Rhinolophus ferrumequinum: one gene and its partners. The main gene of each other region encodes a partner of the protein of the gene in region 3 in a complex. Links are inferred from orthologs where the notes say so. Each region holds a gene or a part of one and is shown on either strand. Other genes may lie near its edges. The genes, in order: ARPC5L, ARPC5 and ACTR2.

Evidence for each region.
Region 1: the proteins of ACTR2 (region 3) and ARPC5L are in contact, whole or in part, in a cryo-EM structure (PDB 6YW6), measured with the Homo sapiens proteins. The link is inferred for Rhinolophus ferrumequinum from reciprocal best matches to the Homo sapiens genes ACTR2 and ARPC5L. Residues at the interface, in NP_005713.1 of Homo sapiens: Tyr225, Glu263, Phe266, Gln267, Arg319, Lys322, Gln323, Ser338; in NP_112240.1 of Homo sapiens: Arg11, Arg12, Val13, Asp14, Ile15, Asp16, Glu20.
Region 2: ACTR2 (region 3) and ARPC5 share a complex: the UniProt entries of both Homo sapiens proteins name them as parts of the arp2/3 complex. The link is inferred for Rhinolophus ferrumequinum from reciprocal best matches to the Homo sapiens genes ACTR2 and ARPC5.

The regions. Positions count from the first base shown.
Region 1 is NC_046295.1:74,632,548-74,640,529, reverse strand, and holds the start of ARPC5L (actin-related protein 2/3 complex subunit 5-like protein), read right to left. Parts: upstream 3,395-7,982; 5' UTR 3,359-3,394; coding exon 3,210-3,358; intron 1-3,209. Other genes in the region: RPL35 (60S ribosomal protein L35), read left to right, coding at 7,072-7,074, 7,481-7,617. UniProt on the Homo sapiens protein: May function as component of the Arp2/3 complex which is involved in regulation of actin polymerization and together with an activating nucleation-promoting factor (NPF) mediates the formation of branched actin networks.
Region 2 is NC_046305.1:15,118,574-15,126,506, reverse strand, and holds the start of ARPC5 (actin-related protein 2/3 complex subunit 5), read left to right. Parts: upstream 1-4,406; 5' UTR 4,407-4,620; coding exon 4,621-4,763; intron 4,764-7,091; coding exon 7,092-7,164; intron 7,165-7,933. UniProt on the Homo sapiens protein: Component of the Arp2/3 complex, a multiprotein complex that mediates actin polymerization upon stimulation by nucleation-promoting factor (NPF).
Region 3 is NC_046296.1:24,869,652-24,877,276, forward strand, and holds the start of ACTR2 (actin-related protein 2), read right to left. Parts: upstream 3,198-7,625; 5' UTR 3,063-3,197; coding exon 3,015-3,062; intron 1-3,014. UniProt on the Homo sapiens protein: ATP-binding component of the Arp2/3 complex, a multiprotein complex that mediates actin polymerization upon stimulation by nucleation-promoting factor (NPF).

The DNA of each region.
Region 1 (7,982 bases), on a different chromosome or scaffold from region 3:
GGGCTTCATTTGGCCCGAGCTGGGCCCATGCCACCCTGCAGCCACTCCAGCCCAGCTCCCGGCCCCCGGCTGGGCTCTGATCCACTTTCCACATTTCAGAGGCAGCCCACCCCCTATTATCTAGCAGCTTTAGAATTCCTTGTCCCCAGCCAGGCAAGGGCCACTGTGACATTAGCCACTGATAACTTCTACCTCAGAATTCTTTTTTTGGTGTCCCAGAGCAGTAAGCAGAGTCCCAGAGGCTTAAAAGGAAATGTAGGCTGGTGCTCTTCACTATCCAGCAGCAAAGCTGGCAAACAGTCACCCAGACGATGGATGGGGAAAGGGAGGGTAACTAGTCCATGGGGGCAGAGTCAGTTACCTCAGAAGTGCCAGTCTACAAGCAGTCACTGTAGGTGTGGATGGGTAGAGGGCCTACAGCAGCTAGGGAGATTTGGGGAGCAGGGAGGGCACACCATTTACCAAGCTGGCCTCAGGCCCTTCCAGAGATCCGGCTGTGCAGGCTAGGGAGCCGTGTCCAACCATAGTCTCCTCTAGATCAGGGTTTCTCAACCGCGACACTACTGACGTTTTAGACCAGATGACGGATGTGGGGTCTGTCCTATGCATCGTACAATATTTGGCAGCATCCCTGGCCTCTACCCACTAGATCTCAGTAGCACCTCCCAAGATGTGACAATCAAAACATCTCCCAATATTGCCACATTTCCTCAGGGGGAGGAGAGAGTGCAAAAGCACTCAAAACCACTGCTCTGAACAGATCTCTGCCCCAGAGGACCGAAGGTGCTTCAGCGAGGAAGAAAAGGAACTACTACTACTTTAAAATCCCTACAAGGTCTCAGATTGTGTGCCAAGTGCTTTCACATGTCATCTCATTACAGCTAACGACTCTGCGACAAGAATCATTATTCTCATTTTAAAGGCAATGAATTTGAGGCTCAGAGAAGGGAACTGACCTGCCCAAGGTCACAAAACTAGCTGTCCAGCTGGCCTTTCAAACCCAAGTATGCCTGACTCCAAAGCCAAGCTCTTTTTACAGTCCCCTGCTGCACTCCACCCACAGACCCAAGCTGCACGTCCAGGACACCTGCTGTGTGCCTAGCACTGGGCCGAAGCCTTCTGGAATGTTGTCCAGCAGTGGTCCCATGGAACCTAAGGCCAGCATTTCTCCTGCTTTTAACAGAGGATGCTAAGCTTCAGAGAGGATATGTGACCTGTTCAAGGTCACACAGCTATCGTATGATGGAGGTGGGTGTATGTGTGGGTACACAGCCCATGTTCTTTTTACTTCATGTGTTATCTCACCATGACTCGCTTCATATGCAGTACTAGGGCAGGTCTCCTCCCTACATTCTCCCACTCAATCAACCAACCCCTAGCCCTTCTCCCCTCACCTCTGTCCTAAAACTCCTAGAAGTCTGTTCTACAATTTAAATTCAATCAACTAATATAAGTCCAATATCTGGCACATGGTAAGGACTCTAAATATTAGTTCCTTCCTCCCCCCTCCCTAGGTCCCACGTTTGCTAGGATTTCAGTTCTCATCTACGAACCTCCCTTTCCCCAATCCCAGGGGGTACCCTCTCCATGGCAACAAGGTTTCTGATACTGCCATTAGTGAAGACACTGCTATCTCCTGGCGGTGCTAAGCCAAGCCTCCAAGCAGTCACAAGGAACCTACCACTAGTCACCGGCATATGAGAGACGACCTTCAACAAATGCCTGCAGCACCAGGACCAACACAACAGATAACCAGACCTTGTTCTCCCATCTGTGGAGGGTTCTGGGCCATAGGCCTGACCCTGGAGCCCTTTTGGCACCACATGCCCAAGAGTGAGGTCCTACTCCAGATGCACAATCAGCCTTCCCTCATTGGGGCCATTTTCATGCCTCCATTTCGCCAATGGGGTAAGCAAGGTGACCATGATGGGGCAGGAAACACACCTTGGAAAACACACTCCTGTCCAAACAAAGTCTGAAGGTTTTTGTTTTAAAGGCACATTGGAGGAACACTGAGGACTCCTCCCAAAGGCAGTCTATGGGCCTGACTTCCCAAGCTGAGTCAACTGATTAAACACTCAGAACCTGATTTATATACAGCATGAGCTTCCAACCCTACCCTGGGCAAGTGTGGAGGAGGGGCAGGCACTTCCTGTAACACCATTTAAATAAAGAAAAATCCTTCCTGTGAGAATAAGTCAGTTTCCTGTGTTCAAACTGCTAAGGGACCAAGCAGGCTGTGACAACCACCTCTATTTTTAATCTTGTTTTCTAAATGCTTGTTTGCAGTGGCCACGAAAATAGTTATTTCCAGTTGTGGGGATCTACTTTTACATTTCACTTCTTGCTCTCTGGTTTTTCTTAGCTCTAAACTACTAGTTTTTCTTTTTACCACTGCTTCCTGCACAAGAAGGCTATTGAGGGCAGGGAGGCAAAATACACTTGTTGAAAGTCGCTAAGCCCATCAAGGTCCAAAGCCCAAGGTGTTCGTAGGAAACAATACGCGAGAAAGAGTGGCATTAAGCTGAAGGGTCAGACTGATTCTGGGGTGGAAGGTGCGCAATCCCAGCCCTCAGGTCTGAACTAAGACTTTAGCCTTCGCTCCCTCTTGTGTCCTTTCTTCCCCGCAGCCATCCACCCACCTATTTTAGTGTGGTGCTGCAATCGGGCCAAGAAGTGTGCCCAGGAGCCGCCCTGGCCGCTCAATTACTCAGCGGTGGCTCACCTCGGTCCCTCCCACCGGTCAAGCCCTAGTATAACCCTATTTCCTGCAAGGGAGGGATGGAGAGATGGGGCTGTCCAAAGGACAGCCTGAAGGGATGAGGAGGCAAAGGGAAGGAACGAGAGGCCTCACAGAGAAGAGAGCGGCCTGTTAGGGCCGGAGACACGTCCGGCATACTACTGGGGCCGCCGAGAGAGCCGGTCAACCAGAGTCTAGGGACCGCGTGGGGCTGCGCTGCTGAGGGAGGCTCCGGGAGCCGGGGCCAGGGACAAGAGGAGTGGGGAGACCGGATCAGAGGGAAGTGGGGAGTATTCAGACTGAGGCAGCCTGGCCCGACGGGAGCCGGATTGGAAGGGAGTTGGGAGACCCACCAGAGGGGTCGCGGGTAAGACGAGTGGGGAGCCGGCCTGAGGGGCCAGGGCCGGGTGAGGGAAGTGAGAAGGCCGGGCCAAAGGGGAGCCCAGAGCGCCCCGCTTGGGAAGGATATTGCCGCAGGAGCCCGTCCACCTCGCTAGGGTCCGGGCCTGGCTCGCCCGCCGCCGCCGCCGCCTCTTCCTGCTCGTCCACGAATTTGTTCTCGTCAAACTCGTCAATGTCCACCCGACGGAATCGCGAGGACAACGTGTTCCGGGCCATGGCGGGGGCTCAGCGCCCGCTCAGCCGGCTCTGCTCCGGACCCGACCTCCGCTCCACTCCGCTCCGAACCGGCTCGCTCTCGGGGGCGGGAAGCAGCCGCCCGGCTCCTCCTCCACCTCCTCCGCGCGCAGCCGCTGCCCGCCCACTTCCGGCCCACGCCGGAACCGGAAGTATAGGTGGGATGCAGGGGCGGAGACTGGCAGGGTAGCAGGTGGGAACGCGCGATTATCCGCGTGGTAGTCGCCCCGACCCCCCCACGCCAGTGTCCCATCTTCGTGGCGCCTCAGTCTTCTCGTCTGAAGAGCTGGCGCACTCTCCGCATGCAGGCCGGGCCTCGTGGACGCAATTACTGCGCTCGTTCTTCGGCCTCCCTCCTGCATTCGAGGAGCCCCTGTCCCTGGAGGGACCGGCGTGTGCACAGCCGCGAACTCTGGGGTCATCACTGCCCCAGACTGAGAGGGCACGGGGCCCGCAGGAGAAGGAGCTGGGCTCTGGCATGTCAATTCCGGGCAGGCTTCTTGGGGAAGAAATCTTCGAGCTGGGTTCTGAGTGATTAGTAGTAGTTCTTATGCCCCGGGGAGTGACGGAGGTAGAGGATCCTAAGTCTCAGATTTTAGGAGCCGTGAACACCACCACACTGAGCTCAGAGGAGGCGGCCTCTGCCTTGTGCACAGTGACCCTATTGTTGATGGACTAGGAGACTTTAAGGACGTTCAAAGTGTATTGAGGGTGCTGACAAGATAATGAAGACCTTTGGACTTCAGGGTGCGGTGGCACTGCGTGTGGGGGTGCAGAAATGAAGGTGATCCTGTGGCCGCCATCCTGGCAAGAAGGGCGAGGTCCTGGGAGCTAAGAAGTCGTGTCTGGCTGGGGAGCATATCCTGGTAGGAAGCCCAGAGTCTGAGATGGGGATGGGAGGGGGTAGGGCAGAGTCAAAGACGCCTCTGGTGCTAGGATTAGATGCTTGGACTGTTACTTGAAGGGTTCCATTAATGGGCCTTAGCCTTAGACTAAACTGGGTCCTTGCTTTCATGTAATAGTACTCTTTTTAATAAAGGCCAGTAGTTAATGAAATGTGACTTGTTTTTATTGATTTGAATATTTCTCATTGAACTGTGTCTGCAGATCGAAAACTACACCAGACTATAGTACATATGGTATCTTGGATGCTGAAGATACTCCTACAGTGTGGAAAAAGGTGCTGAATAAAAGTCCCAGGGGTCCTGGAAACAGGCAAAGCCCATCTGCCTTTCAGTTCCATATGTTGGAAGAAATCTTTGTGACCCAGGCAGGCCACCAGACAGAAATTCGTGTCCCCAGAACATCCTGGTCAGAGGGAACTTTACACCAGACATGACCATTTTACAAGTAAGGAAATAGCCTCCAAATAAACTGGTGAATGAAATAATGTACGTGCTTATGACTATGGACCTCCATTCCAGTCAGGAAGGCAGAATTTTAAAAACCTCTATTATGTCAGGATGACTGTGCTGAGGGGGAAAAAACCAAACATGCAGGGCCTGGGAGTGAGTACCTTAAAGTGGTCAAGAGAAGTGCCCCTGAGGAGGTGACACTGATCAGGGACCTGAAGGAAGTGAAGGTGGGAGCCGGGCAAAGGCTCAGGCTCAGCAGGCTTGGTGTATGCCAGAAACAGCAAGGCCATACTGGATCAGAAGAGAGAGAGAGAACATGGAAGTGGAGGGGATTCTATAGGGCTTTGTAGGCTGAGGACAGGATGTGATCTTCACTCACATGGGACAGCCCTGGAAATTTTGGGTAGAGCAGTGATGTGATCTTACTTAACTTTGAAAAGGGTTCCTCCAGCAACTGTATTGAGAACACATGGGAGCAAGAGCCAAAGTAGAGAGGCCATTTAAGAGGACACCAATGGTCTAGGTGACAGGCAATGGTAGTAGCTCAGGCCAGGCAGGTGCCAATAAGAGTGGTGGGAAGAGATCAGGTATGTTTTGAAGGCAGAGGCTACAGAATTAGGTGCTGGCTCAGATGTGGCATGTAAGAGGAACGGGAGTCACAGATGCCTTCAAATCCAGAAAAGATGTATACAACTGTATACCATGTTTCCCCAAAAATAGGACCGGGCCTTATATTAATTTTTGCTCCATTAGGGCGTATTTTCAGGGGATTTCTTACTTTTTCATGTACAACAATCTACATTTATTCAAATACAGTCATGTCATCTTTTGGAATATTATCATAACGAACTAAATGTGTCTGGCTGAGATCTTAACTGGGGCTTATTTTCGGGGTAGGTCTTATTTTCGGGGAAACACGGTATCTCTAATAGAACTATAAGCATTTGGGAAATGTGACAGCAAAGACCCTGTGCACTATTCAATTTCCATTTAAAACTAATCCATGACCACATTGCCCTCTGTCTGCCCTCTCCTTCCCATATCCCTCCACTTCCTAAAAGTCTCTCATTGTGGTCTGGGGTAAGGCTCATTCATTCGTTCATCCAACAAGCATCCACATGCAGGTCCTGGAGACTAGGAAAACCAGGTGTCCACCATGGTTCTTGCCCCCAGAGAAGTTCCAGGCTGGCTGTGGAGATAATACATAAACATTTGAACTCTGGGGCTGAAGAGAGGATTGCACATAAAGCTTGGGACACAAGACAGGTTGTGTCCCAATTTATTCCAAGGCTAAAGATCATTAACTCCAGGAGGGGATGGGAGAAGGCTCCCTGGAAGTGACACCTGATAGCAACTAGGGGACAATCTGGCATTAACTAGAGCTCAAAGAGGTGTTGGTATGTTTTTAATGGCAATGGAGTGACACTGACGCACTGATTGCTGGTTGGGACAACAATAAAACTGCTGTGTCAGCCTGAGCACCCTCCTTGCTTTGTGAATTCCCCTTTAACTTTCAGGGCCCGACTCAAGTGTTCATTTCACTGGGAACATTAATACCGGTATTTTGAGCGATTGTTACGCATCAGGTCTTGTGATAAGAATTTTCTAGGTGATAGAATCCAAATCCTCATAAATATCTCATTTCACAGATGAGAAAACTGAGACTCAAAGAGGGGAAGGTATTTACCAAGTCTTAGCTAACACCAGGCAACAGAGCAAGAATCTGAAAACGGGTCAGTTTCACTAAATAAGGCTTATGAATGCTCGCTCCCCGGCCACATGGCTGCCTCCACTAAAACATTTATGGAGTTGGATTATAGCTGTCTGACCCCGCCCACATCGGACTTTAAATTCCTGAGGCTGGGGCCGTGTTAATTCATTTTTGAAAACCCTCAAACCTAATCTCCTCCACTCCCTGAACACAGGTGCCACGCTCAGAGCAGCACGAACTGGGCGACCTGCAAAGATTTACCCAATAAATAAATGAGTCAATGAATAAATAAACGACTGAGTGGACGAATTTGAATCCTCACTATGCCATCTCTGCTAAACTGCCTCTCATCCCGGGCAGGCCGTGGTTTCCTCAACTGCTCCGCTCAAGCCGTGGGACTCAAATAACCTCCGGGGTCTTTGGAAGAACCAGGGACTACAGAGGGATTGGGCTGGCGGTACCAAGGTGTTCCTCGCGGCGTTGGCGGGGGCCGGAAGGGGCGGAGCCGGGGCTCCCTCTCTGCGACGCCATTGGCCGCGCCCGCCCTCACCCGGTAGTAGTTGCAGAGGTCAGCCCCCCCCTTCCTCTTTCTCTGCGAGCGAGCGGCGGCTCTGGTGGTTTGTGCAGCGATGGTGAGGGCTGGGGAATCGGGTGCCATCCGTGCACTGAAGGGTTCGGGAGCTGGGGTGGAGGGCGCAGGGTGAACGCTGAGGTCCCATCTGCCAGTTGGGCCTGTGGAGCGCCGTGCGGAGTGGCCCAGCGCCACTCAAACCGGTCTTTTCCTCCTACCGGCTTCGACTAGGAAAGGTGCGCGCGCGCGCTGCCGCGGCCTCGGTCTTACAGTCTGCGGAATGGGGATAGCGTCCCGGCCTCGTAGCAAGCTTGGGGTGGGGATGCTCAGGGCGAGGCGCGCGCCCCTCTGGGGCTGACCGTGACGCAGGTCGGGGAGAGGGTGGCCAGTGGGGGAGGCCTCGATGAGCGCCGGAGGAGTAGGCGGCGCCGCCGGGCGTTTAATCTAGACCCTTTCTTGGTACACAGGCCAAGATTAAGGCTCGAGACCTTCGCGGAAAGAAGAAGGAGGAGCTGCTGAAACAGCTGGACGACCTGAAGGTGGAACTGTCGCAGCTACGCGTCGCCAAAGTGACTGGTGGCGCAGCTTCCAAGCTCTCCAAGATGTAAGTGACGGGCCGCGGCCCCTCTGGGCGGGGGATGGAATAAGTGTATATCAGGGTATTTGAGGTTGTCTTAGGGAGGTGTCCGTTTAAGTGCTCGTTCAATGGATCTGTGGTTTGGAATGTTATGCCCTTCTAACCAGCTTTTCCGGGATCACCTGCTCACGCCTAGCCGTGCGGGAGACCCTCTGCCTTTGACCGTGTGGTCCTTTTGCCCTGAATGCCCTTGTCTGTCTTCTCTGGCTGGAGGAAAAACTGGGTGTCCCTGAAGACTCATTTTAATCCTGCCATCAAAAGCCTAACTGGAACTTTTTCTTTACCTCCCCTCAGCATTTGATTATTTTTTCCCTCGTTGGGTAAATGGAGTC
Region 2 (7,933 bases), on a different chromosome or scaffold from region 3:
AAGAAAACCAAACAAGTCAATAACTGCAGATGATAAAGAACATCAAAACGCTACCTCTAAAAATATAAGCCCAGATAATTCTGTAAGCATATTCTATAACTTTCAAAAAAAATAGCATGACAATTTTCTATTATTCAAACTATTCCAGAGCATAGGGGGAAAAAAGGTAGAAATCCTCTCAATTCATCTTACAAAGCCAGACTAATCTCAATATCAAAACCAGATAAAGATAGCACAAAGAAATAAAACTATGAACCAATCTTACTTATACATATAGATTCTGAAATGTAAACAAAATATAAACTAATCAAATCTAGCAAGCAATTAAAATAGTAACCAAATAGAGTTTATTCTAGAAATGTGGGAATGGTTCAGTGCATAAAAATATATAAATATAATTCATTACATTCATAAATTAAAAGATGAAAAAATGACATGATTTTTATCATTCGATCCCCCAAAAAAGCATTTGGTAATTTCAGCCATTATGTCGAAAGATCATAAAGCAATAGAAATATAAACTGGTAAATACCAAAAACATTTCCACTGAAAGAAAAACAAAGAAGAGAAGCCTACTATCACCCAATTTCTCAACATCGTTTCTGAGAGACTAACTCATGCAATAAGTTAAGGAAAAAAAATAATAAAAGTGATATAACTATTGGAAAAGATGTAAATTATCACTATCTCAAAAATTATGATTATATATTGTGACAAGAAATGTAACCTTAAAACAACTGTTAGCATTAATAACAGACCCGAGTAATGGGAAAGAACATGGAATAAATAAATTTTTAAATCCATAGCTTCCCTTTATATTATCATAAGCATGTAAAAACAGGAAATAGAAATATAGTCCCATTCACAAAAATGTTTAACAAACAAGGCTTATTCTTTCATTTAGCACTAAACTTTTTACCGGAGACAAGCGTACAGATTTAAATCTTTTAAATCCTTGAAGTACTAATATATAAATAAATAAAAGTTCTCATTGTAAAATAGTTCATCCTATCCACTCTACCTCAGTGTGTAATCATAAAGTTATGTGAAGCTGAAATTAATCACCGATTAAAAACTTGAAGTTTTGAAGGTTGGTGGTTTTAACACAGAACCAGTTCATTCACATGTTAAGTCTATATATAGTCAATGGGTAACATGCCAAAAAGTCTTTTTACATTGTAGTAATTATGTTGCTAGAGAACAGTGAAATTAAATCATTACCAGAACTGAAATTTAGTTATTTTATATTTATAACACATGTTTGACATATTTGATTAACACTGAGTTCACTTCCATTTCAACTAATAATCCCGCCATGCTGCAGGATTCAAGGTCTTGGTTTGTTAAGTATCTAATGGCAAGTCTGGAGAAAAAAGCACATTGTAGGTAGAGTACTTGGTTTAAAATATCTGCAAAAACTTATTATAAGACAGTTTTATCAAAATCGTTTCTAACTAAAGAGATCTTTTGCTCTTTCCATCATCACAAAAATAAGGAGCTATATACTATCATGCAGCATTAATCTCGAGAAAAGTCAGTGTTAACTTCGGTATTGAACCAAACCAGGTTAGTTGCAAAACAAATCAGATGTCTTAAAACCCTATGGAACCTTTATTTCAGGGATAAGCACTCCTTTGGAAAATTAAAATAGGGAAAATAATATTACCTAAAATGAAAGAAGTGCCATGACTAACATTAGAAATTTGTAATATTCATATGCAAGAAATTGAAATGTGTATCTTCTAATTAAATGATAATTAAGGACAGCGTTCTTCACACACACACACAAATTTCCCTACCGCTTTAAAGAGGTAATTAATGTGTCCATTAAAAAATACTCAATCTCTAAATATAATTCCAAAATTAATTTGTTGGATTATTGCTTCATTGGATCGAAAAGTGTTGAGTGCCTACTATGTACAAGGTACTTATCATTGTGAGATAATAAAAAAATACTGCATTGGAAAAGGATATTTCTGACATTATTATATCTCAAATGTAATATGCATTATGTGGCTGAAACTTAATTATGTTTAACACATTCAACACACAGAGCAAAATTATGAGCAATTAAAAACAATTAAACCTTTAAGCAATTCGATTTTTTAAATTCCCCTCTCTGTTCCCTTAAGTTGATTTCTACTCTGGGTTTCTTTCCCAGTTCTAAAACCAGAGAACAAAGAAATTTCCTAAATAAGACCTTATACAAAAGAATAGAAATGGTAAGAGAACGGATGTATTAGCTCATGAATCCTTGTTTCCATTTGCTCTCAGTAGTGCTTCTAATAGTCAATTTTCTCTTCTAAAGTTAGCAAAATATTGAAACTGAGAAAAGAATATTAGAGCAAATCTTTATTCTAAGTTATATAATGCTATTCACCACAGTAATGATCTGATACTTTGGTATACGACTTTTTAAAATAAAGGTTATCAACAGGTAGAAATTTTTCCTTTGCTATTTTAAGACAGTCCTTGAGGAAGTTTTTACCAGCGTGTTTGTTCATAACTTGAATGTTAATTTAAAGAAATGTCACTTCATCACCTCAATGATATATGTTCCAGAAGGGTGATTTAATTGGGAAAAGAAAATGCCATATTGCTTCTTCCTTCCAAGAAAAAAACATGCAGTCTATTCCTGAGGGTTCTCTCTATAGATGACAGATTAAAGAGATAGAGATATATATGTATACCTATATACACATATTGATATAGATACATAAGTATGCACATGTATCTAATGAAGATTTGATTTTGAGATCTTTCTTCCTCTTTTTACTGGTTCATTATTCTCAGTGTGATTCTCAAACTATAATGGCTTTCACATGTTACTCATTCACCCAGGAATAATTAAGTACCCCAGTGCACTGAGTACCTTCTGCATGCTTAGCTTTATGTCAGACCTAAAGGAAGATACAAAAGAAATATAAGACAGCCTCCGCCCTCCAGAATCTTTCCATCTCTTCAGGGGCAAGATAAAACACAATGTATCATTAAGTAATTTATAAGGCTAGTTTTCAAACCAATGGTACAGGTAACACACATTTCACATTTATGTACAATTTTATAGCTCCAAAACGCTTTCCTGTACTTAAATCTCAGAATGATCTTGTGAAGTACACATTATTAGCCCCCTTTAGCAGTGGAGAACCTGAGATTCAGAATTTTAAGTGGTATGTCTCAATCAAGTAGATTGAGCGAAAGACTCAAGACTCGAGCCAGGATTTACTGATTCTAAACCCAGTGCTCTTTTCAATAGAGCACAGGAAACCAATGAGTCGAGTACTTAACAGGGCAACAGCCGGCCTTCTGCTAGAGGTGGAATTAAACTAGACCTGATAGGATGTCGGGGAAAACAAAGCCATCTGAGCAGTGTCCATCCAAACGTCCAAATTAATTTTAATCTACACACATTTGTGCTTCAGTGTTGCACACTCAGCACAGCTACCATTTACCTCCTCAGTAAGAGCTTTGCTCTCAGAAACGGGCATGTCAAATATAATAAAAAGCTGGCCTAAAGGGATCACATAAAACCTTAAATCACAAACGTCTTCAGTCTTGAACGTCTACCAGTTGTTCCACATTTTATTTCCCCTCAGCACCGGAGAACGTAGCTCGCCCCTACCCTTGTCTAGCCTGCCCGCTCCGCACAACCACGTATTTTAAGCTGTCAGTGACGGACCCTACCACAAATTCCACAGGTTCACCCAGTGTTGCCACCCGACCCCAGCCCCTGCCACGCACCTCCCCCTCCCTCCCAATGGATACGATACCTAGTTCAGGTTCTGCAGGTGCCTTCGCGGTGCTGTCACACAGCACTGACAGAAGATACGACCTTTCGACTCTGTCCTTGGGGACCTCCCGCTGGCCGCACAGCGTAGTTCCAACCCCGGGAAAGGGGCTCCCGGCGCAGGAACGCAGCCACGAGCAGCGCCCGGACCGAAGCGATGTCTCTGAGAACTAGAACGATGCTGGGCGCCCGGGCGTGCATCACTCCGCCCTACTACTGCCAACGGCAGGGGACTTGGTCCGACAGCCAGTCCATCCCACCTCACAGGCAAGTCCAGGACGGCCGGACCCTACGCAAGACCCGGATGACAGGTCGTTGGCGGCAGCAAAAGCCAAGGCCACCCGCCCCCAGTGCCCATCGCCGCGAACAGAAGAAGAACCCCTAGACTGGACCGCAGAGAAGCGTTCCTATGGAAACCCCCTAGGGATCACGTGAGGCACGCGGATGACCAATCGCCTATTACCGCTTCCCGCGGCACCGCTTTCTGCCCTCCCTCATGCTCCGCCCCCTCCGCCCCCGCCTCCTCAGCTCCGCCCCGCCCCTTTCCTGCGGAAAGTCTGCGCCTGCGCACTGAATCTAGCGCGCTCCCTGCTTTGCGCGCGCTCCCGGGAGGAGGGCAAGGACCGCGTAGGAGGCTTCAGCTGAGTGTGAACCTGAGGAGGAAGAAGCGCCGCCAGCGCGCAGGCCCAGAACCTCCCGAGCCCGGGCTGCCGGCGACGCCCCAGAGCGGAAGAGGGAAGTGAAGGCACCAGGCTGCGGGTTCCTGCAGAACTGGGCTTGCCGAGGGACAGGCAGCACCAAGAGGAGGCCTTTGCCACCGCTCCGGATCCGGGATGTCGAAGAATACGGTGTCGTCGGCCCGGTTCCGGAAGGTGGACGTGGACGAGTACGACGAGAACAAGTTCGTGGATGAGGAAGACGGGGGCGACGGACAGGCCGGGCCCGACGAGGGCGAGGTGGACTCCTGCCTGCGGCAATATCCTTGCGTTCGCCGGCCTCCCCAGCCCCCCGGGCCCTTCTGGTCCCCGCGCCGGCAGGGTCTGAGGATGACGGGCCCCTCCCGGGCCGCGGGCGCGGAGCTGCTCCTGACGGCCCCTGTCTCTTTGGGGTCCCCCACCCCGAGAGGGCAGGGGCCTCTCCCATATCTCACCGGGTCGCCTGGAGACCCCAGGGGTCCGCCCCCCGAAACTTGCCCTGCGGGGGCGCCTTCCACGCCCGGATTCCTCAGGTTGCGCCTGGAGTTGCCGCGTCCGGGAACGGGCTCTGCCGACCGCGCCCTCGAGGCGCTGGGAAGGCTTCGGGGCTGATCAGGACGGTTGCTGGGTGCTGAAGTTTTCCTCCCAGAACGCTATTTACTGGGGTCACAGTAGCTCCAGAAGTTTCTGACGGGGGGGGAATGGGCGTCTTTCTCTAGTGACTGTTTTTGTTGCGGTGGTGGTTTTGTTTTGGTAGAATTAGGATAGTTTATTCCTTTCTGGGAGACGGGGTAGTTTGCAGAATGAGGGCCTCAGTCCTTTGAGCCTGGGGGCCTTTTTTTTTTTAAGAAAAAAGAATTTTGCAAAATACAAGTTGCACAGAATTTGCTAACCGGGGGAAAGGGAGTAAGTACAAAATTACCAAAACTCCCAAGAAAGGAAGAAGCTTGGAGGCTTTAACCTGCTGAGCGATGGACCCTGGAAAGAAGCAGGGAATGCATATGGAGAATCCCTGGAAATATATCAAATAAATCCCAATGAATAAAATAGAAGACGAGCCAATTGTACAAAGCAGCATCATTTTTATAATCCTGAAATCGTTTCCATTTTAGTTAAAATGTGGTTGTCAGTTCCTAGTTTTTGGTTTTGCATATTTAAATATTCGTAACATCTGCATGAGATCTTTTTTTTTAGAAAAATGTAAATGTTGCAATAACCAAAGCTGAAGTTTTCGAGATTGTCAATTACTGAATTCACTCATTTCTAATTATTCTTGGGTGGATTCATAAGGAAGGCTTTATAGACGCTTCGTGGCTGTCCTGTGAAATTATGATGGGGAAATAGATGAGTGAAAATATTTGGTAGCAACTATATCTGGTCTTAAAGGCATCTAAAATACAACATTAAACATTTATCAACATACAGATATTTATTTATTTTCCACAACTTTCACAATCAGCGGTTGCTATTTTTCATTATTTAAATACTTAACGTGTTTTGGGCCTTAAAAATGAGCCAGTCTACAAAAGGCATGCTTCTCTAGAAGTCCATTACGCCTTGAAAATGACAGCTTACCACCAACCATGGGGTTTTTTGTCAGACCTTTTTCTTCAGAAAATAAGTGGTGAACATTGTGCTGTCTAAAAACATTCTTTGTGGTGGATAAATGATGTTTTGTGAAACTAACATTTTAGCTGGTATGAGAGGACTCTTAAATGGTTCTGCTGTATCCATGTAGTAGGTCTGTTTATAAAGATACTGTCTCTTCTACTCTTGTTACAACCAGAAGAGACAAATGCTGGTTAGGCACTACAGATGGAGGAACAAGTAAGCTCTGTGTGGTTTTCCTTTTAGGGGAATAACTGTACATTCTGACAGTCTGATTGGCTTTCTGTGTTTCATACATGCTAACTCACTAGTGCTTTCAAAGAGAGACTAAATGTAATAGGTATGGCCTGACACAGTCTGAATAACCTTTATGAAATATGAAAGGAAAGATCTAAAACAGAAAAGTTAAGCTGCCTCCTAAGGGTCACTGAATTATGATACCTTCTGTAGTGCCTCTTTTCATCAATATTGAGAGATTGCTAATGTATATCATTCAGATTGCTAAATTAATAATACACCAGCATTTTCCATCAAGATTTCAATTAATATAGAATATAATTCTAGTAAGTTTGGTCTTTATTTTTCCAGTTAGAATCACATAAAAACATTTTGGTTGAGGGTAGGCAGTTTCGTTTTGGGGCCTAATTATTCTGATACATATTGTAGAGATTTTTTTAACTTATCACTGGATAGTGTTTCCATATGTGTCTCATTGGAAAAGGAGAGGTTCTCAAGGCATTCGTTTGACAATTAGAACCAAGGATGGAACAGCCTTTGCTTTACTAAAAGAACTCTCACGTGATTTTTTTGTAGTTTTCAGTACTTTACCTTTGATTGACATCCTTGAAACCAACATGTTGAATTTTCCAATAGTGAACATAGTGACCATAGTCATTTTTCCTTCTCTGCATGAAGTCAAGTCTTAAGAACCAGTGGTTCCTGGTAGTGAGCATGCTTTCCTGTGGGCTGCCCTTTGCTGCTATGTCCTTAACCTCCACCACAGGAAACATGACAGCTGCCCTGCAGGCTGCTCTGAAGAACCCCCCGATGAACACGAAGAGTCAGGCGGTAAAGGTGAGTCCCACATCACGGTGATCTCCGATGGCATCGGAGCATTCTTACCCAAATCCTCCGAAGTGTCGCAAAATCAAGAAATATTTTAACTAGTCACGATCTTTGCCCTGGAAGAGTTAATGAAGTAGTTTGATAGGTACACATTTACAGATGAATAAAGAACAGGCAAACACTGGGTTTCGTATGCAACACATCCAGTTCAAATGACAGATCATTTCTGTGTGTTTTTAGGGGAGGCTGCAGGTTGAATTTGAGCAAAGATTTGAAGAATAAGTAAAACTTTTACAAAATGAACAGATTCTACTTCTTTTCTTGTTAAAGATCTGTGAATGTTATACAAGTATTAAGTATTTATTATAGAAAACTCGGAGAGGAGAGGTGGGGGATGAAAAACGGTAACCGTCCATAACCCCACCTCCTCAAGATTGTAATTACTACTTTTTGGTGTTGCTGTTTGCTGATACAGTTTTTCTATGAGTGGTTTTTTTGTTTTTAAATAAAAATGAAATTTTATAACCTGCTTTTTCAGTTGGATAGCCATGGACATGTACATCTTTCCTTGGCAATAATTTTATTTCTGTAACATCTTTTTTAATGGCTACATATAGATAATGCTGCAGTTTATATGTAACTAATCTGTTTTGTCATATATTTACATTATCGACCTTTTTTTCCTGTTGTAAACAGTACTGAAATGGACAATGTTTTGTAAATTCTTAATGATTTCCTTTGAATAAATCCCTGGAAGTGAAACGCTGGATTTTAGAAT
Region 3 (7,625 bases):
ATTTTACCATATATAGTTTCCTCTTCATAGCACTGTGGTTTAAACTGGTTCCCTTACTTCCCACTGAGTCATCAACTGGTGAGAACATGAACAGTAAGTATAATGTTCTCTCAAGCAACATGAAGAAAACGTCCATCTACATTTGCTCTAAAAGTACCTTTCCCCTCTCAAAAAGATAAACGGATTTATAAAGCTTCACTTGGGATTGTATATGTATTTTTCCTTTATTAATTTTATCTGAAGGTACTGATGCATTAATTTAATTGCATAGTGATTATTTTGATCTTACATCACCAAAATACTTATTCTATTTATTCCAAAACATTTTGCAGGGTAAAGCCAAGTTTGTTTTTGGTTTATTTCTGTTCCAAGTGCTCCTAAATTCAACTTATAAATTAGCATAAACTTGATAAAGCAGGCAATAATCATGAATTATAAATGAAAATATAATTATTCTAGCACTATAAGCTACGTTGTATCACTAGACTTTAAAAACTGTACCAGTCACACAGTAGGCAGTTGTCTTCACTGTAGTGGGTGCTCACTGCTGATGAAATCACCCAAGTTTGGTGACAAAACATACACCAGGGGCCTGGGCAAAACTCTTAAAAGGCACCTAAACCTAAGCAGATCTCCAGATTTTCACCTATCTGGCCATGTTCAGTGGCTCTATTGTAGGTCGTAGGTTTGACTGGTTATGAGGATGAAACAAATAAATTATTGGAATCGGATGCATTTTCCTCCTCTAGGCTGCCTGAACGAGACTCTGGTCTAGTTGGGGGCTAGTGAGGAAGAGGAGCAGGACCAACATCTAGCACGTGATCATAAAAACTCACCTACTCTTCAACTTAAGGCCTGTCAGAGGAGTTAAAAGAAAAAAATCATCAACTTCTCAAATTGCTTATAATTTTAACCTAAAACGTGTAAGAGGCAAGCTGCTTTAGGGTAACAACTATTCCCATAAATTTTTAGAAATTAAATTTGAATATCTTGTTTAATATTTAATTGTAATCATACCTTTACAATTAAATATTGTAAAGGTATGATTAAATGAAATCAGATACCTCAATAAAATCAAGACTATGAAACAAAATATAGAATCTAAGTGGTTCCTAATTCTCTAAATTTTCAGAAATATCACAGCATTCCATATTATATCAGTGTTTCTTCATTTGAAGTCAATCATGTCTATACAAAATCCAAATATAATTTTAAAAAAAGAAATTAACACCAAATATATAAAATTTTGTTTGAACTAAATACACTTTTCATATTTATTCCATAGCAACTGATCTTTTGTCTTAAGGAACAAGATTCTTAAATTATAGATTGGAATAAGACCAATAATATACAATCAGCTTCCTAACATAGCTAAGTTGATGAAATAATAACATAAAAATGAGCTTAAGGTTAACATTCCTATTCTAACAGTATCACAAAACTCATTACAAAAATAGGGTTCATTACCCTTCGAAAAGGAGGAATCCATTAAAATATAGTTGGCTCAGATTTCTAAAAAGAATATCAGGCATATTCACAAAACAAAATGTTTTAAATTCAATTTTCAAATCTTTAAATTTACTTAGAGGTCAATTTGAGACTAATATCTTTTAAAAAGCACCTTTAATTGAATTTTAACTGTAAAAGTAATAACTGTTTATAGTTTCTTTAGTTTCAAGATAGTTTAACAATACATGTTTTGTTAAAAAACAAAAACCATTTTTCCAATAGTTTGGAAGAGTCATGAAGTCTTCATCTTCCCCCACTCCGTTATCCCTAGTCTCACAGATTACCACTATGCACATTTCTCACGTATCCCCCCAAAACTTACACATACAGGTTTGTGGACATATAAACATATTTATAGAGTTTATATGAAGAACACACACATAAATAGGATCATTTTTTAAACTTAACAATAAACTTAGATATGTTTCCATAGCAGTAAATGGGCCTCTTTTTTTTTTAATTTAAGTACTCCATTTTGTAAGGATGTCCCATTATATGATAACACTCATTACTCAAGTCCATTTGGGATAAACTAGTATAATTATTGCTTGTAAAAGTCTGTAACAAATTCAATCAGGGGAAGTATTATGGCAGTGAATATTAGCTCTCTCCCCCACAACACAGTTTCCAAAGTGTTTTAAAAGTTCAAGTAAAATCTATTTTAATTCATATATCACATTTATGAAAGGGAAAGAAAAGTCACAAATATGCAACTACAAAACGGTTAGGTATCACTGTAATAATATACGAGAAAATGATCACTATGGAACTCATCTAAAATAAGTAACAAAACTGATTAACTTCCCTCAAGGCCAATCAGTAGAATTAACATTTGGGCCTTGACGGGTCCTAGATGTCCCAAGATCATTCAATGTAACATGCTGGTCTCCGCGGGGCTGCACCTGGGCCAAAATCCCGGCATGCAGAACAAAAACTAAATGATGAGCAGTCGACCTGGCCTCTCTTTTCTTCAAAAAAAAAAAAAAAAAAAAAAAACACTCAAAACTGCCAAAGGGCTGAGGCTTGCACTGACAGCACTTCCCTTTTTTTCTTTAAACCCGTTTCCTGCCTCCCGTTCAGTATCTATACAGGAAGAGGAAGGCCTCTGGGTCTTTCCCCTTTTTATACACCGGCAATCCTGGGGAACGGAGCCCTTCTCGAACATACAAACTTAGTCTTTTACCCCTCCGACCCTTTAGCCAGATTGCCCCAGCAAGAAAGCGGAGCCCGTCCCCGCCGAGCAGCGGGCGAGATCCCCATCCAGTGCCGGCCTCGCCCGCCGCCCTAACCCGGAGGGCTGATGGGGATGGCAGGCTGGGGGAGACCAGGCCGGACCCTGCCGCTCGCTCCCCACGCCCGCGGAGGCGGAAAAGGGCTGCACCGAGCCCCTTGGCCCCGGTGGCCCGAAGGCCCAGGGGTGCAGCCCCCGGCGCCGAGGGCCCGCGCGTCCCCCGCACATCCCCACCCCGACCTATGGCCACCGCGGCTTCTTGCCCGCCGCTTACCCCCGTGCCGTTGTCGCACACCACCACCTTCCTGCCCTGGCTGTCCATCGTCCGCCCGGAAGAGAGCCGCCGCTGCTGCCGCCGCACAACCTACAGCCGCCGCCTACAGCCTCCGCCGCCCGGCCTTTTCCTCTTCCTCCTCCTCCCTCTTCTCAGCCCCTCCTTGGGCTCTGTTCTCTTCCCCAACCGGAAGTCGCCACCCGGCCCCGCCCCGCCCACGGCCTGCGCGACACAGGCGGGTAAGGGAGAGGAGACGGAGATTGGCAGCGGTGAGCCCAAATAAGAAGCGGAGGAGCTCCAAGTCCTGGCTCGCAGCTCCGGCTCCGGCTCCGGCTCCGGCCCCGCCCTCACGGTTGCTGCCTACTCGGGTGATGCTCTCTGCGTATGGTTTCCGGCGTTTAACGCAGCCGAGCTGGTGGGTGCTGCAGCTTTTTTCCAGAGTCGTCGCAGGAGTTGAGGACACTCTTACCTGGCTGCAGAAAGCGCAGGCAGGACAACGGGTCTGTCGCGAGATGGCAGTGGAATGTGGCGAAGAAGGCAGCCCGGAACGGGAGCAAACCTGGAGGTCCTTGCCAATCCCACTTATTGAAAATGGCTCTGTGTGCTCTCGATTCTAGGCCTTTTCAGCTGACAGAGCTGGAATGGATACACACACGTATTTGACATCATGCGGTCATAGATACTTCTAATTCCAGCCCAATCCTTCTTGGCTCAAATTGCCCTTAAATAAGAGTGGGTGCCTACATTTCCAGCCTCATCACACACCACCTACCCCTTCTCTCAGCACCATGTTGCTTTACACTTCTTCAGAATACATACCTACTTGAACCCAGAACCTTGGCTTTAAAATAAACCCCCGTTTCAAATCTGACCCTACCACTCAAGAGTTTTGTGATCTGGGCATCCCCTTATCTGTGCCTGCGGATAATATGGTTGTTGTGAGGATAAAATTATGTGTGTGGAGTAAGCATCCATTCAGTGGTAACTTTTGTCAACCAAACTCGCAAAAAGTCAGGAGACTTTGGCTATAAATGACAAAAAGTTGCTCAAGGTCTTAGGGTTTGCAAACTGAAAACACAACTAACTAGTTAATACCCAGAGTGTTCCAAAGGAGAAAGAAAAGGTGAGTTCTTACAGTAAAAAGTACATTCTTGAGAACAATCAGTCATGCATATTTAGCCTCTGGGTTGGTCTAGGATGATAATCTTCCACGTGTCTGGTGGTCTGGATAATGGAGCATTCTTTCCTGAGTTGTTCAGATGGTTATCTGTGGCAGTAATGTACATCCAGGCATTGACACACAACTGAGAAATTTAAAAGTTTAAGTCCTCAGGCTAGTTAAAGCAAGAATAGAAGCATTTCCTCATGCCTCAGATTACTTGATTCTCGTAATTTAGCAGCTTGACCATCATGACTCCATTTTATTTCTTCACTTTATTCCTCACTATGTTTCATACTTTCAAACATGTAGTTCTATCTTTAATGCCCCTATCTTTTTTCATTTTAATCAATGGGGAGACATCTACTCATGCTCTACGACCCAGTTGTCACATCTCTGAAGATTTTGCTGATAACCCTTAAGATGCTTTTTACTCCCTTTATTTACTATTACTTTACCATGGATATATGAATAACATTATTGTGTTTATTGCACTCAACAAATATTTATTGGATAGATGACATTAAAATTCATCTAAAAAAAATGCCATCGTTTTTCAGAGGTAAGAACTAAAACTGTGCTTTCCAAATGGCTGTACATGACTAGAATAAAACTTGGATCAAGAACCCCCCTCCCATCCAGTATTACAATACTAGGCTGCCTCTCAGTTTTAACTTTGTTCTTTCAAACCTTTATAAAGGCATAAAATGCTTTCTTCAAATTTAACTTTATATGGGATCCCAAAATATAAAATAGATCAAAGTACAGCTGCCATAGCTATAGTTGGAAGTTTGAAGGTTAGGATGGGTAGGAGAGGAGGCCTCAGGGGAATATGTCTTCCCTACACCAGTTTCATTGCGGTACCTCACCCTGCTGAACAGTGCATTAAGTTCATAAATTATACGTCTGACTTTTGTGGCCCCAGTGCCTAGCACTGTGCAGTTTTCCTGGGAGTACATTTAGTTGGTCTCAGCAAATTGAACTCATGCATTTCTATATATTTTTACTTTCTCTCTTTATGAAATTAAATGCATTACTAATTTTTACTTTTTAATAAATGGCTTCTGTTGTTTTCTTCTGACTATAAAAGCAATATACGCAGATGATAGAAAATATCAACAAACTACAGTAATGAAAATGTAGCAAAACTTTTGATTATGCAAATTTAGGTGTAATACTATTGGTGACTGTCTCTGACCTTCTAGACCAAGTGCATTCTGGTCATGTCACTTTCCTCAAAATAATGTGATCCCACATTTTAAGCGATTGAATTTTTTTTTTTTTTTGAGGAGGGCTTCATTTCTAGCCTTCTGTTCAGATTTTATGTAAACTATTCCACACAAAAATATTGCTAGGCAAATATTGCCATTTTACACATGAGAATATGGGGGCTTTAAAAAATTAAGTCTGGAATGAGAGACGTCATCAAAATGGCGGCATGAGGTGAGCCTCTATAAATCTCCCCTGGAATTTACAACTAATCGAACAACTATTACTCCACAAAGGACTCCCTGCATAGCAGACAGGCAGGACGAAGAGGCCCACTACTGAATTCACCTAAGGGTGGGCGAATCTCATGAGCTGGGGAGGAGAAAAGGGAGAAGTGTGGAGATGGAGCTGGATGGGCACAGGACGCAGACCTAACTCAGTCTTCCAAGCTCGCTGCATCCTGGAACTGCCGCGGCTGCGGGAGAGGGAAGAACTCGGACTGCTAGGGCTCTGCTTATGGCCCACAGGGCTGAGGGGGCAGCATATAACATGGCTGAACCCAATGCTCACGGCAGAGACCTCGGAGCAAAGACTGAGGGAAGAAGGCTGAAAACGGTGGCTTAAGCCCTCACTGCCGAGCAGAGAACAGAAGCCTTAGGCACTAAGACTAGCCGCCCCCCTCCCTACCCTTCCAAAGTTCACCCTGCCCCCACCTGCCCAATGCTAGAAGCGGTATAGTAGCAATGTCAGATCAAAAGAACAGAATAGTACCTGAAATCTATGTAATTTTACTAACAGTTGTCACCCCCATAAATTAAAAAAAAAAAAAAGAACAGAATATTTGCTGTTCTGAGAACTGTGGACCGCAGAAACAGATTCGCAGCCCAACTAGTTCCGGCAAAGGGGAGGGAGCAGTGGAAGCAGGACCGGCTGTGTGGTGTTCGCCGCCATTCTCTGGGCCACCTCTCACAACTCACCCCGCCCCTGAACGCACCTATCTGGGCAGATGCCTGCAGGAGTAAACAGAACTGCTGAAACATACGGGCTCTGAATCTGGTGCAAGAAGAGCTTTGGAACTTCAAAAGTTCTCCGCATACCCACACGGACACTGTGCCCTGTGACCCAGGCGAACTATTAACAGAGGAGAAGCCCATCTCCCAGGGAATCCCCCCATTGTGTGAGAAGCTGGAATAGTGCAGAGAAAACATAGCACTACCATGTGAGAGAGAAAAAAAGGCTGCAGTTGGAGAGAAAATAAAATTCTATCAACTAGTACTGGAAAACAAAAGAAAGACCTCGTCCTATCAACCTGTTGCAGAAGCCACTCCTGTACATGTCTAGGAAGAGAAATAATAAATCAATAATTGTCATGAATAACCAAGGTAACAAGACAGCTCAGAAAGAAAGTCGAAAGTCTCCAGAAAAGGAACTTAAAGATATGGAAATATGTGATTTAAATGACAGAGAATTCAAGATTGCAGTTCTGAAAAAACTCAACGAGATGCAAGAAAACACAGAAAGGTAGTTTAATGAACTCAGAAACACAATCAAAGAACAACATGAGTATTTTATGAAAGATATTGAAATTTTAAAAAAGGACCAAACAGAATTTCTGGAGATTAAGAACTCAATAGAAGAAATTAAGAATGAAATAGCCAGCTTAGGTAGTATAGTTGACCAGATGGAGGAAAGAATCAGTGACATCGAAGATAGAAACCTGGAAATTACACAGATGGAAGAAGAGACTTGAGACTTAAAAGAAATGAAAGAACTCTACAAGAACTTTCTGACTCCATTAGAAAGAGCAATATAAGAATAATGGGCATACCAGAAGGAGAAGAAAGAGAGAAGGGAACAGAGAATATATTCAAACAAATTGTCAATGAGAACTTGCCAAACTTGTGGACAGAACTGGATCCTCGAATCCAAGAAGCAAATAGAACACCTAATTACCTCAATCCCAACAGGCCTTCTCCAAGGCACATTATATGGAAGCTGTCTAAAATCAAGGACAAAGAAAGAATCCTCAAGGAAGCCAGGGAAAAGAAGACGGTAACCTACAAAGGAAAGTCCATTAGATTATCATCAGATTTTTCAGCAGGAACGCTACAAGCCAGGAGTGAGTGGAACCAAATATTCAAACTATTGAAAGAGAGAAATTATGAGCCAAGAATAATATGCCCAGCAAAGATATCCTTTAGATATGAAGGAGGAATAAAGACCTTTCCAGAAATACAGAAGCT